3 linked regions of the Canis lupus familiaris genome follow. The protein of the gene in region 2 purifies or fractionates together with the protein of the main gene of each other region. This does not show direct contact. Links are inferred from orthologs where the notes say so. Each region holds a gene or a part of one and is shown on either strand. Other genes may lie near its edges.

Region 1 (3,114 bases), on a different chromosome or scaffold from region 2:
GGGGGGGGGGGCGGGGCAGGGCAGGGCAGGGCGGGGGCTCGTCCGTTCCAGGCTGTGCGGGGACCTGGAGGCCGAGTGCGCCGTGGGTGCCCCGAGGTGGCCGGTCCTCCCCGCCCTGGGCCGCGGCGGGTGCGGGGGGCGCAGTCGGGCCGGAGGGGCGGGCTCGGGGGCTCCGGGGCGGTCGGCGGGTCGGGGCCGGGGCGCTGCGCTCTCGGGGCACCGGCTGCTCCGCGGCGGCCCCGCCTCCATCCCCTGCCCCTCCCCCCTCCATCCCTCCCCGCCCCCCGCGCCCTCCCCCTGCCCGCGCCCCCCCTTCCGGCCCTGAGGATGCTCCGCGGGCGTCGGGGCGCTGCTGTCCTGGGGGCGGGCGCGAGCCCCGAGCCCCCTGCCCCCGCCCCGGGCCGCGGAGGAAGAGCCCGGCGGCCGTCCTGGAGGAGGCGCCCCGCGGCCCGAGCGCAGCCCCGTCTCTGCCCCGCGGCCGGGGGGGGGGGGGGGGGGCACCTGCGCGGACCCCGGGGAGGCAGGTGCGCCCCGACCCCCCCCGCCCCCGCCCGGCCCCGCCCGGCCCCCTCGTGCCGCCTCCGCAAGAAGAGCCACGGACGCAAAGAGAATAAGTTACTTTATTACAAGAAGGAAACAGACTCGCCAGTTTAGTCTAACTTCACCCACATCTCGACGCCGAGCGCCCTGGGGACGCCGAGCAGGGAGCCGGGCTCAGGCCTTGGTCCCGACACTCAGAGCCTCCGCGGGCGCCCGACGGGCCAACCAGGCCGTTCATTTATTGTCTTTTTTTAAAAAGAACTGTCGCGCTTCTTCCCAGGCCTCCTGGGGAAATCTGTTGGCCAGCTCAAGATAGTCTTGGGAACCGAGGGATTTGCCTGCGAGAGAGAGGGGAGAGAGAGAGAGAGAGAGAGAAGTTAGATTCTTTGAAGTTTAAGCAATTGGAATTATTTCAACATCGGACTACAAAACAGGGACGTGCACTTCGAATAGACCATAATGCGCGTTTATGTAAAGGCGACCCCCGTCCACCTACATTCACCCGTAGCATTTTATATATATATATTTTTAATCACAATTTATTTTGTGCTTCTAACATATTCAGGCATTAATCCCTCTGTAAAACATGACGAAAAAGTGTTTTTGGACTCCAGAGTAAGAAAAGGGGAAAATAAGCACGGTGAACAAGGTAAAATGGCATTCATTCAATCCGTAAGACAGCCTTGAAAGGGTAGATATGAAAGCTTGATGTCTGTCCTCTAAATCGGTCTAATTTGAAATACTTTAAGTCAACTTTTAAAATGCTGAAATCTGGCATTCAGTCATCTAACGAAGCAGAGAGAGCGAGTTTCTTATTACTGACGCAGGCAAAGGAAACCGCCCCGTGGCCGGCAGGGACGAGCAGCGGGCGCCCCGACAGCAGGTCCTCTGTCATGGAGACTGCGTGCGGCGCTACCCGGAGCTGTCGCGGCTCACCTGGGCAGTGAACTCAAAAGGCCTTGAAACGTTTTCCGGGGACTCAATCTAAGCAAAAGGGGAACAGATGTCCGAAGCGCAGACTGGCACTTCGTGGGGCGTAGTCATTTCTTTTAAACCAAGTGAGCACATCAGGGGCTGTCACCCAGGAACATGATGATGACCTTTTCTGACAAATGCAGAGAACAGGTCCCCATTTGCCATTTAGTGCTTTAAGCCCATTGTACCTGGGGAAAGCATGGAAGTCAGAGAAAATGGCCCTTGGAGAAGAAAGTAAGTTGAAACTCCCACAGGCCTCAGCCCACCAAGCAGAGGCAGCTCTTGGGACTCCTGCCTGCCAGATTTGAAGCAAATGGTGACTCATCCTTACAGTCAGGAGAAAGGAAGAAAAAAGAATGGCTAAGCTTCTTACTGGCAAAAAAAAAAAAAAACAAAAAAAACAAAACAAACAAACCCCTGCTGTACATTTAAAAATAAATACATTAGAAGACTTTTCAAGGCATTTTCATATATTCAAAATTTAAGACATTGTTTTCTAAGACACAGTAACCATTTATACAGATTTCTCCCACAGAACCTCCAATAGCTGCTGCTGCCTTTTTTTTTTCTTTCTTTTTAAAAAAAGGGCTGTGAGTGCGTCAGGACAGACCTGAACTTGCACACTAATTCTGGCTTAGATACAAATGGTACCGACTCTGATGCTGACTGGAATTCCTGAAGACAGGCATAGCTGTCCGTTTACTTCTCCGAATGCCTGAACCAATAAAACATGACATTTTTCCACAATATTGTTACAGCTTTGTATTCTTTCCTGTGTACTTTTCGACACCTGCCCACTACAGAGGATTAGCGTGTGTGTGTGTGTGTGTGTGTGTGTCCATCTGTCCGTCCAGGGCGACTCCCCACCCGCCAAGCAAGGGCCACTTGGTGGGCGCCCTAGACAGTCCTGCTGGGAGTGGGCCTCGGCCACTTGATGGACGACTTGGGGAAAATCTGTATTAGGGTCTCATTAATCAGAGACGCTGTCCTGACAGACAAAGAGCAACTTGTGCTTCTCAATTACAGCGTGTGTAGAATATTGAAAAGCGTAAAAATGCACTTTAAAATTCTACATCTCCAGCTCTGATCATAGCAAACGCCTCAGCGGGAACACTGCGGGGGGGGGGGGGGGGGACTTGTAAATCTTTTGGCCTCTGGGCTCTTGTTAGTCTGATGGCTTTTTCTCCAAGTAACACAGTTTTACACTTTTAATTTTTAATTAAAAATATCCGAGCACTTGAATTTAGGGGGAAAATATGGGCGACTATTATTAATAATTTTATTCTAAACATAGGGAAGCAAACCGATGTGATTGTAGCGTTTCTGTGAGTAACGATCGTCGGCCAATGTTAACGATCTGCTTGTCTCCCGTATTATGAAGTGATTATTCACCATTTATTATATCTTGCATGAGGTGCATATGAATTACATAAAGATGTTTTGTGCTTTTACTTCCACAGACTTCTCTGTATATTCGGATGCATTTATGCTTGGTGCCAAAATCTGTTTCTTTACTGTTTGAAATACACTCGGTGTGTGCATCCACATGTCTTAGGTGGGGCGGTAAACGGGTTTCTGTGTGGTCCCAGAGGGCAGAGG
Region 2 (3,754 bases):
TTAAAGTTTGTTATAAATTTTCAAGAAAAATACAAAAATTACTTTATTTCCAAAGGATTTTCCTGCTATTCCCAGACCACTTCTCAGAACTAAAACCTAAATGAGATGAAACGAATGAATTATCCAGTGACTCAACAGACCTATCTATGTATGGTAAAGAAGTTGCACGCATAAACTGTTGGCAGAGCTTGCTTTATAGCAGCTACTTCATTTTATATGTGGTTAGCTGCAGTCATGATTCAACTCTTGCCTCACAGGAGGACAGTGTCCCTCTCTGGTATCAGACTGGATTTACAGAAAATTTTAAGCTGTAAGAGATGTTAGATATCACAATATTGAAAGCTGTATCCTATTCAAATACTCTCGTAAGTGGTATGTACACAGTGAGTTTATGAATACGGTTCAAATCTATTCTCCCAAGCAGGCAAATATTTCCAGGGTCAGATTAAAATAAGGGTTTGAGATCTAATTAAATTGATGTGATTGGCAGTAATATGGGAAGGAAGGAGCACCCAGTTAGGATTTATAGGTCACTAGGTCAATGTATGAGCTGTGAGATCGGAGATGAATCATACCCTTTCTAAACTTTGTTACATTACACCAAATTCATTATATAGTAAGGGTCAGGTAAAATAATGTCTTAAAATGAAACTATCATTAATCCATAATCACTTTAGGATTACATTGATTTGATACAGATGTTCTTTAAAACTTACCAAAACTACCATCCATTGGATAATCAAGAGGTACCAGCGGTTTTCTTGGTCCAGGTAGAGTAATAGCTGAATTAAAAGCCAGGACATTTTCATGTTCTGTTTTTTTAGATTCAGCTGGCCTCTTCTGAGTCTCTTCTTCTGTTTCATCCACATGAATGGTAAATGCAGGCTGTTTACTGTTTGCTTTCCAGGGAGGAATAGTGACTTGTTCATCATTTATAGGAAGATCCTTAAGAGGTGCAACCTAAAAAGAAATGAATAGCTAGCTTTGAGCCTATTAAATGGAGTTCTGCTTGCTTTCTTCCCCTTACGGTTCTCAGTTTCTGTTTTCACTCCCAAATACTCTAAGGAAATTAAACTATCTGGGACAAAATCCAGGCAGTAAAGTTTGAATAGCTGAAGAAAGGGATGTTCAAGTTCGTTAGCGGCATTTCTACATAAGTTATAGAATCACACTAAATGCATTTATGCAAAACTAATCAAGGCCACAAGAGGAGTGGGGTAGCAGGCTGAATGATGACAAGTTTAGGAGAGCCGGCAAAGAGGTGTTGGTTCACCGCTTTGGCCCCAGGGTGGAGCAACAGAGCAAATCCGGTAAAATGGCGGAATTTAGTAAAAAAAAATTATTTTTTATACTCTTTCCTAAAGTAAAGGTAATCTTAACCAAATGGCGAGCAGGAAGGGGGTCCAGATCCTAGGGCAGTGCCTGGGGTTTAAAGCGGCGAAGAAAGCGCGGACATACGTCGTGGTGCTCGGTCTGACCCTCATATTCTATCGGAAAATATACCAAATAAAGAGCAGACAGGGAGCAAAACACACAGCGCTGGCGAAGAGAGCTATGGGAAAGATTTACGTGGCATCCCCCGCGCCAGAACACTAGGCATCAAGGGGACTGCAGACCCAGGCCTCCCTTACAACAGCTCGGAAGATGCTTTCTCGCCACGCTCCCCGGCCTGCTCAAACCTCGTGCAAAACTCCCGCTCGGCCCTCCTCGCCTGCAGATATCGTTCATCTCTTTACCCGCCGTGTCTTGGGCCTCTGCTGCGGCGCTGGGACGCGCTGGTTCCCGGCCTTCAGGACCGCCAACCCGGCCCGGGTCCGGGGCTGCTGGGCGGGCGCCGCCTTCTCGGGGTTGATGTTCTCCTGGTCCTCTTGGAGCGCCGTATGCTGCAACGTTAGCAGCGACGAGCCCGCCTCGCGGGCCTCAGGCCCAGGCTCCGAGCTGCCCAACATCACTGCTCCCCGGGTCGCGGCGGGATCAGCCTGCGGCGCCAAGCAGCGTGTACTGCGTCCCGCCGACCCCGCCGAGAAACGCTCCAGCCGCAGCCGCCCGCGGCAGTCCGGGCCAGCCTGCTCGCTCGGGATCGCGCAGCTCCGAGGACGTTGCGAAAGGCTCAGGCAGGAACTGCCGGGCGTGGAGGGCTCAAGACGCCCCCGAGATGTAGCGAGCAGCCCGCCGGAGCGGCGGCTGTTCGTGCAGTTCAAGTATCCCGCGACTATTGAAATGGGCCAATGGGAAGGGCCGATGCCCCTGACGTCACTCAAGGCGACACGGTCGCAGACAAATGAAGGAAGCCGTGAAGGCCACGGAGCGGGGGCGGAGAAACGCCGAAAGGCGGCGGGAGGGAAAACGCCTGCGCCGGCCAAAGAGGCGGGGCCTGAACTTCTAGTGACTAAACTGGGCCACTTGGTGACCCGAGGGTGCTGGGCCGCGGCTGTCTCTAGGACCGACGGAGTCAAACCCCAGCAATTGTTAGTGGCCGCGCCTGCCTAACGCTGGCCGTGGGGCCCTCAGTTGGCTGGACTGACTGGTCTCCCAAGCTCGGATCCGACCCAGCCGCGAACCGGCCTGGTAGGCGGGCCCCGTGATGACACGTCTCTGATTCTCAGTGTTCTCATCTATTAATTGGGGGTAAAATGCTACATGTCGTATGGCTGTTGTGATTATGTAATGTGCGTAAATCATTAACATGCTTGCTTACTGATCCTCGAGTGTGGACTGTACTGTCATGTATCATTTAGGGGTTTCTTCAGTCATGCTTCCGAATTCACCTCATGAAGATGTGATTAGGTAGGTGCTACCTTAACTACTGTTGATACATATATATAAACAAATAGTAATGTACTGGAAGAAACTCAACTAGACAGTCACTAATTTTGATGCTTTTCCCAGCTGTGCCAGCCAACAAAAAGCACCCAGTGAAATTTCTAGTGACATAGATACAGAATTTTGTTCCATTTGGCAATGAAGGCTGTTTAAATAAAAACAACATGACCTTTTAAAATAAAACTCTCAGTGATATGTGCCTTTAACAAGTTCTCAGATTTAATAAACAAGGCTTGCATATATTAATATAATGGTAAAGAATTAAGAGACCTTGTTTTCTGACAAATTCATGAGGATGCCCTTCTTAAAAACATGATTATATAATCTTTACGCCATTTTAAAACAATCTTCAAACACAATATTCTCCTGAGTATGAAGAAACATGAATTAACATTAGTGAATAAAACTTCTGTAGCTTTAAAGTCTTATTTCCCTCTCTACATGATAAAACAAGTCAGTGGACACTAGTGCAGGAAAATCTAAGAGGCCATCACTATTTCTGCACTATTCACATGTAGTAGCCTTGTACAGTTCTACTGGTTATAGGACAGCAAGTGAAGATCCCTTCAATCTGTGCAGCTCTGCTCATTTCCCTGGCCAAAATTTATAGCACTGAGCATACTCAAGCTCACAAACTGAGCACGGGTCACAAAACATTACCTAGCAAGAGTGAAATCAGTTGCAAATTGGGGGATCCCTGGGTGGTTCAGTGGTTTAGCGCTGCCTTCCGGCCCAGAGTGTGATCCTGGAGACCAGGGATCCAGTCGCACATCAGGCTCCCTGCATGGAGCCTGCTTCTCCCTCTGCCTCTGCCTCTGCCTCTGCCTCTGCCTCTGTGTGTGTGTGTGTGTGTGTGTGTCTCATGAATAAATAAATAAAATCTTAAAAAAAAAAAAAGAAATCAGTTGCAAATCAATCTCAACTCCTAGAA
Region 3 (3,654 bases), on a different chromosome or scaffold from region 2:
AAGCCACTACTCAAAACAAGGGGACTTGATATTACTAGGACATCATCTGGGAGCATTCCCCCCCAGTTTTATCAATTTGCATCTTTGTCTTTTTCCATGTATAGAAAATTACTAAAACTCAATGTTCTTCAGCAAAAATGGATATATGTGTTTTGGACTCAATTAAGCTTAGTTTATTATATTCTTTAAACAATTTTATTAATGCATAATTCACATAAATTTCACTTAAATTGTACAATTCAATGCTTTGAATTTGGTATTCAAATTTTGGTATACCAAATTTTGAATCTGGTATATTGCTACCTTTTTAATATATATATATATATATATATATATATATATATATATATATATATATATAACATGTAATTTGCCATTTGAACTATTTTTGTATGTACAATGCAGGGCATTAATTCCATTCACAATATTGTGCAACCATCACCACTATTTCCCAAATTACTTTGTCATCCTAAACATAAACAACCCCTATAAACATTATAGCACAGTCTGTTGTTAAATATGCACATCAGTGGCTGAATTTTTAAGCAGCATTCCTTCCAACTGCACATCAATTGTTGTTTTTAATTTAAAAATATAGGTAGGGAGGTCATAAGAGGATAGGGGTACTCGTGACAGACTATAGCTTAACATTTTAATTTTCCAATGGCACAAAACCCAATAAACTTACTAGATTTGTATTTGGAACAAACCTACAATTGGAAAGAATGCATTAGGATCATTATCTTGTAAAGCATTAAGAGACCTCAAGAAAATGGAGAAGTGGTAAGTACAAAGAAAATGAGTTTATTATTATTTTTTTTAATCTTTATTTTTTTTTTTAAGATTTTATTTATTTATTCATAGAGACACAGAGAGAGAGAGTGCGGCAGAGACATAGGCAGAGGGAGCCCGACGTGGAACTCAATCCAGGCCTCCAGGATCACACCCCAGGCTGCAGGCAGCGCTAAACCGCTGCGCCACAGGGGCTGCCCAAGAAAATGAGTTTAAAGTCAGGTCCTAAATCCACAGATTAGGGAAGGAAAAACTCTATAGAAACAGGACTGAGGAAGACCAGCTGTCAGATCTGTGTCTAAGATGGATAACAGGCAGAAAAATAGTTAAGCCATTATGATTCCTCTTCCAAAAAATGAGGAAATTTTCATATAGATTATCCATAGTTATTGAGTATGCACTGATTCTTGATTTTAAATCTGATCTTTTTTCTATAACCAGTGCTTATCAATTACATTAAAAGGTTCATCTAGAAATAATATCCTTCTAATGGCACGTAAGGATTTAGAACTCTCTGAATTTACAAAATTGCTTTTTAAAAGCAGTTTTGTCTTAACTATGTAAACTTAAACCTTGCATGTGGAAGATGTTACAAGAACAACCTGAAGGGGTGCTTGACTGGCTCAGCCTATTGAACATGATCTCAGGTTGTGAGTTTGAGCCCCATGATGGGCATAGAGATTACTTTAAAAAAAAAAAAAAAAAAAAAGCAGCTGCCTAAATAGAACCAGATGAATAGTGAAACTTCTCTTTTCTGTATTTCTGGGGCCAGCACTGCTGTCCTATAAACCAGTGTAGCACAGCTCAACTGACAAGAGTTAAAGCTGAACATGCTCTGGCCATTCAGTACTTTTAACTCATCAGCTTGTCTATACCTAGTTGCATCATACAACTCTATCTTTAAGAAGCTTTTGTTTTTTCCTGATTTTACTTTTTAAAAAAGATTTATTTGAGAGAGAGCAAGAGAGCAAGCACATGAGAGTTGTAGGAAGGGGAGGAGAGAAGCTCAAGTAGACTCTGTGTCAACCACGGATCCCAACATGGGGCTCAATCCCACGACCCCAAGATTACAACCTGAGCAGAAATCAAGAGTTGGACACTTAACCAACTAAGCCACCCAGGCACCCCTCTTCTGATTTTAAAAGAAATACATATTTATTTTTAAAAATTTACAGAAAGCACCTGGAATTCTATTAACCAATATTTCTTAACAGTTTGGTTTTCTTTAGCCTTTCTGTATGCTTATATATAATAAACACACACTTAAGATACATTAATTAATATTAGTATATATTATTAATATATTAATTATAATTAATTATATAGTATTCTCTTTATTTAATATTAATTATAGTATTATATATTAATATATAGTATTAATATATAGTTATATTAATATATAGTATTCTCTTTTTAAAGTCACTTGTTATTACATGTATCTTCCTGTGTTCTTAAATATATTTCAAAAGCACTACTTTTAAGTGATCCATGTGGTACTATAATACTCAACTTATTCTGGCTATACAAGGCTTTCTAGGGGAGGGTTCCAGTTAATAATGCACAAAATATTTCTTTTATTTAAACCCTATTAATTTCACTTCTAGTTTCAGATAGAATTTCAATTCTCAGATATTAGGCTCCCAAATACTCCCCTTAGTATTTTTTTTTTTTTAAGATTTTATTTATTTATTCATGACAGAGAGGCAGAGGAAGAGGGAGAAGCAGGCTCCTTACAGAGCAGGGAGCCCAATGCAGAACTCAATCCCATTGAGGATCATGACACAAGTTGAAGGCAGACACCCAACCAACTAGGCCACCTGGGTGCCCCCCTCCTAATATTTTAAACTTACTTCTTCCAAGTCCTCCAGTATCCGCACGAACTTCACTCACCCTTCTGGGAGTCAAAGGAGATCCAGCAATACAAATATCATCTGCTCTTTCCAGGTTCTGGGGTGGCATAACCTATAAAGAATGATATACAGAGTATCATTATTCAAAAAGGTATTTTCTTTAGAAATACAGTCACAATCTAAGGCAAAAGGAAACTTGGCTCACCAATTCTTTAATGTAAATAAAATCAGTGTCTTTTCCAGTTTCATACTGAAGTTGAAAAGGTCTGGCAAGCTTAAAAAAATTCAAAGCTAATAGGTGAATTCTAAATATGATTCAGCCTTCATTACTGATTTAGATAATTAGAATACCAGCCATTCTAAAGTACAGAGACTTGACTAGAAAATTAAGAGAGAATGCTGAATTCTTACTCTGGCACTGAAACCTTGAAGCAATCACACATTATTTCTGACTCCTAGAGTTAGGGGTTTCTTCTTAGATACAGGGGTGACTATACCATATTAAACCCAATGGCCACCCTCTCACTTCCCATAAGGGAGATACTAAGTTTAACTGCTCTCCGTGAAACAAGAATATAAACAGATTAGATCCTGTTATACTTTTGTTACAGAAAGATGTTAAGGTATTTTCACAAACCTCTTCACAAGTAGGAACTCTGTTTTCATTGTCTCTAATTCTGTCCCAGAGTGGAGACTCTGGTTTCCATGCCAAATGATCCAAGATCTGTTCTTCAATCTGATTAAGGTGTTTTACCACTTCTCTACAAAGACCATCTTCTGCTCTAATGAATACTTCTATCACCTGAAATAAAAAATGCCCTGGTTTAATAATTATTTTTGTCACTAAAAATGCATTTATTAAGTGTGAAGCAAAAATGGGTAAATTGCATTTTTTACATATTTATAGATACAACAGATAATTCATCAAAAATTAAAAATAGAGATCCCTGGGTGGCGCAGCAGTTTGGCGCCTGCCTTTGGCTCAGGGTGCGATCCTGGAGACCCGGGATCG

The links. Proteins that work in one complex are often made in the same cells at the same time.
Region 1: the proteins of CCNA2 (region 2) and SCAPER purify together in Homo sapiens (affinity purification with mass spectrometry; 3 studies listed by BioGRID and IntAct, counting the BioPlex papers as one, with this or other methods). This does not show direct contact. The link is inferred for Canis lupus familiaris from reciprocal best matches to the Homo sapiens genes CCNA2 and SCAPER.
Region 3: the proteins of CCNA2 (region 2) and RBL2 purify together in Homo sapiens (affinity purification with mass spectrometry; 3 studies listed by BioGRID and IntAct, counting the BioPlex papers as one, with this or other methods). This does not show direct contact. The link is inferred for Canis lupus familiaris from reciprocal best matches to the Homo sapiens genes CCNA2 and RBL2.

Annotation. Positions count from the first base shown.
Region 1 is NC_049251.1:40,246,359-40,249,472, reverse strand, and holds the end of SCAPER (S phase cyclin A-associated protein in the endoplasmic reticulum), read right to left. Parts: intron 879-3,114; coding exon 775-878; 3' UTR 602-774; downstream 1-601. UniProt on the Homo sapiens protein: CCNA2/CDK2 regulatory protein that transiently maintains CCNA2 in the cytoplasm.
Region 2 is NC_049240.1:19,143,120-19,146,873, reverse strand, and holds the start of CCNA2 (cyclin-A2), read right to left. Parts: upstream 2,235-3,754; 5' UTR 1,950-2,234; coding exon 1,737-1,949; intron 961-1,736; coding exon 717-960; intron 1-716. UniProt on the Homo sapiens protein: Cyclin which controls both the G1/S and the G2/M transition phases of the cell cycle. Functions through the formation of specific serine/threonine protein kinase holoenzyme complexes with the cyclin-dependent protein kinases CDK1 or CDK2.
Region 3 is NC_049223.1:61,549,105-61,552,758, forward strand, and holds part of RBL2 (retinoblastoma-like protein 2), read right to left. Parts: intron 3,445-3,654; coding exon 3,280-3,444; intron 2,755-3,279; coding exon 2,643-2,754; intron 1-2,642. UniProt on the Homo sapiens protein: Key regulator of entry into cell division. Directly involved in heterochromatin formation by maintaining overall chromatin structure and, in particular, that of constitutive heterochromatin by stabilizing histone methylation.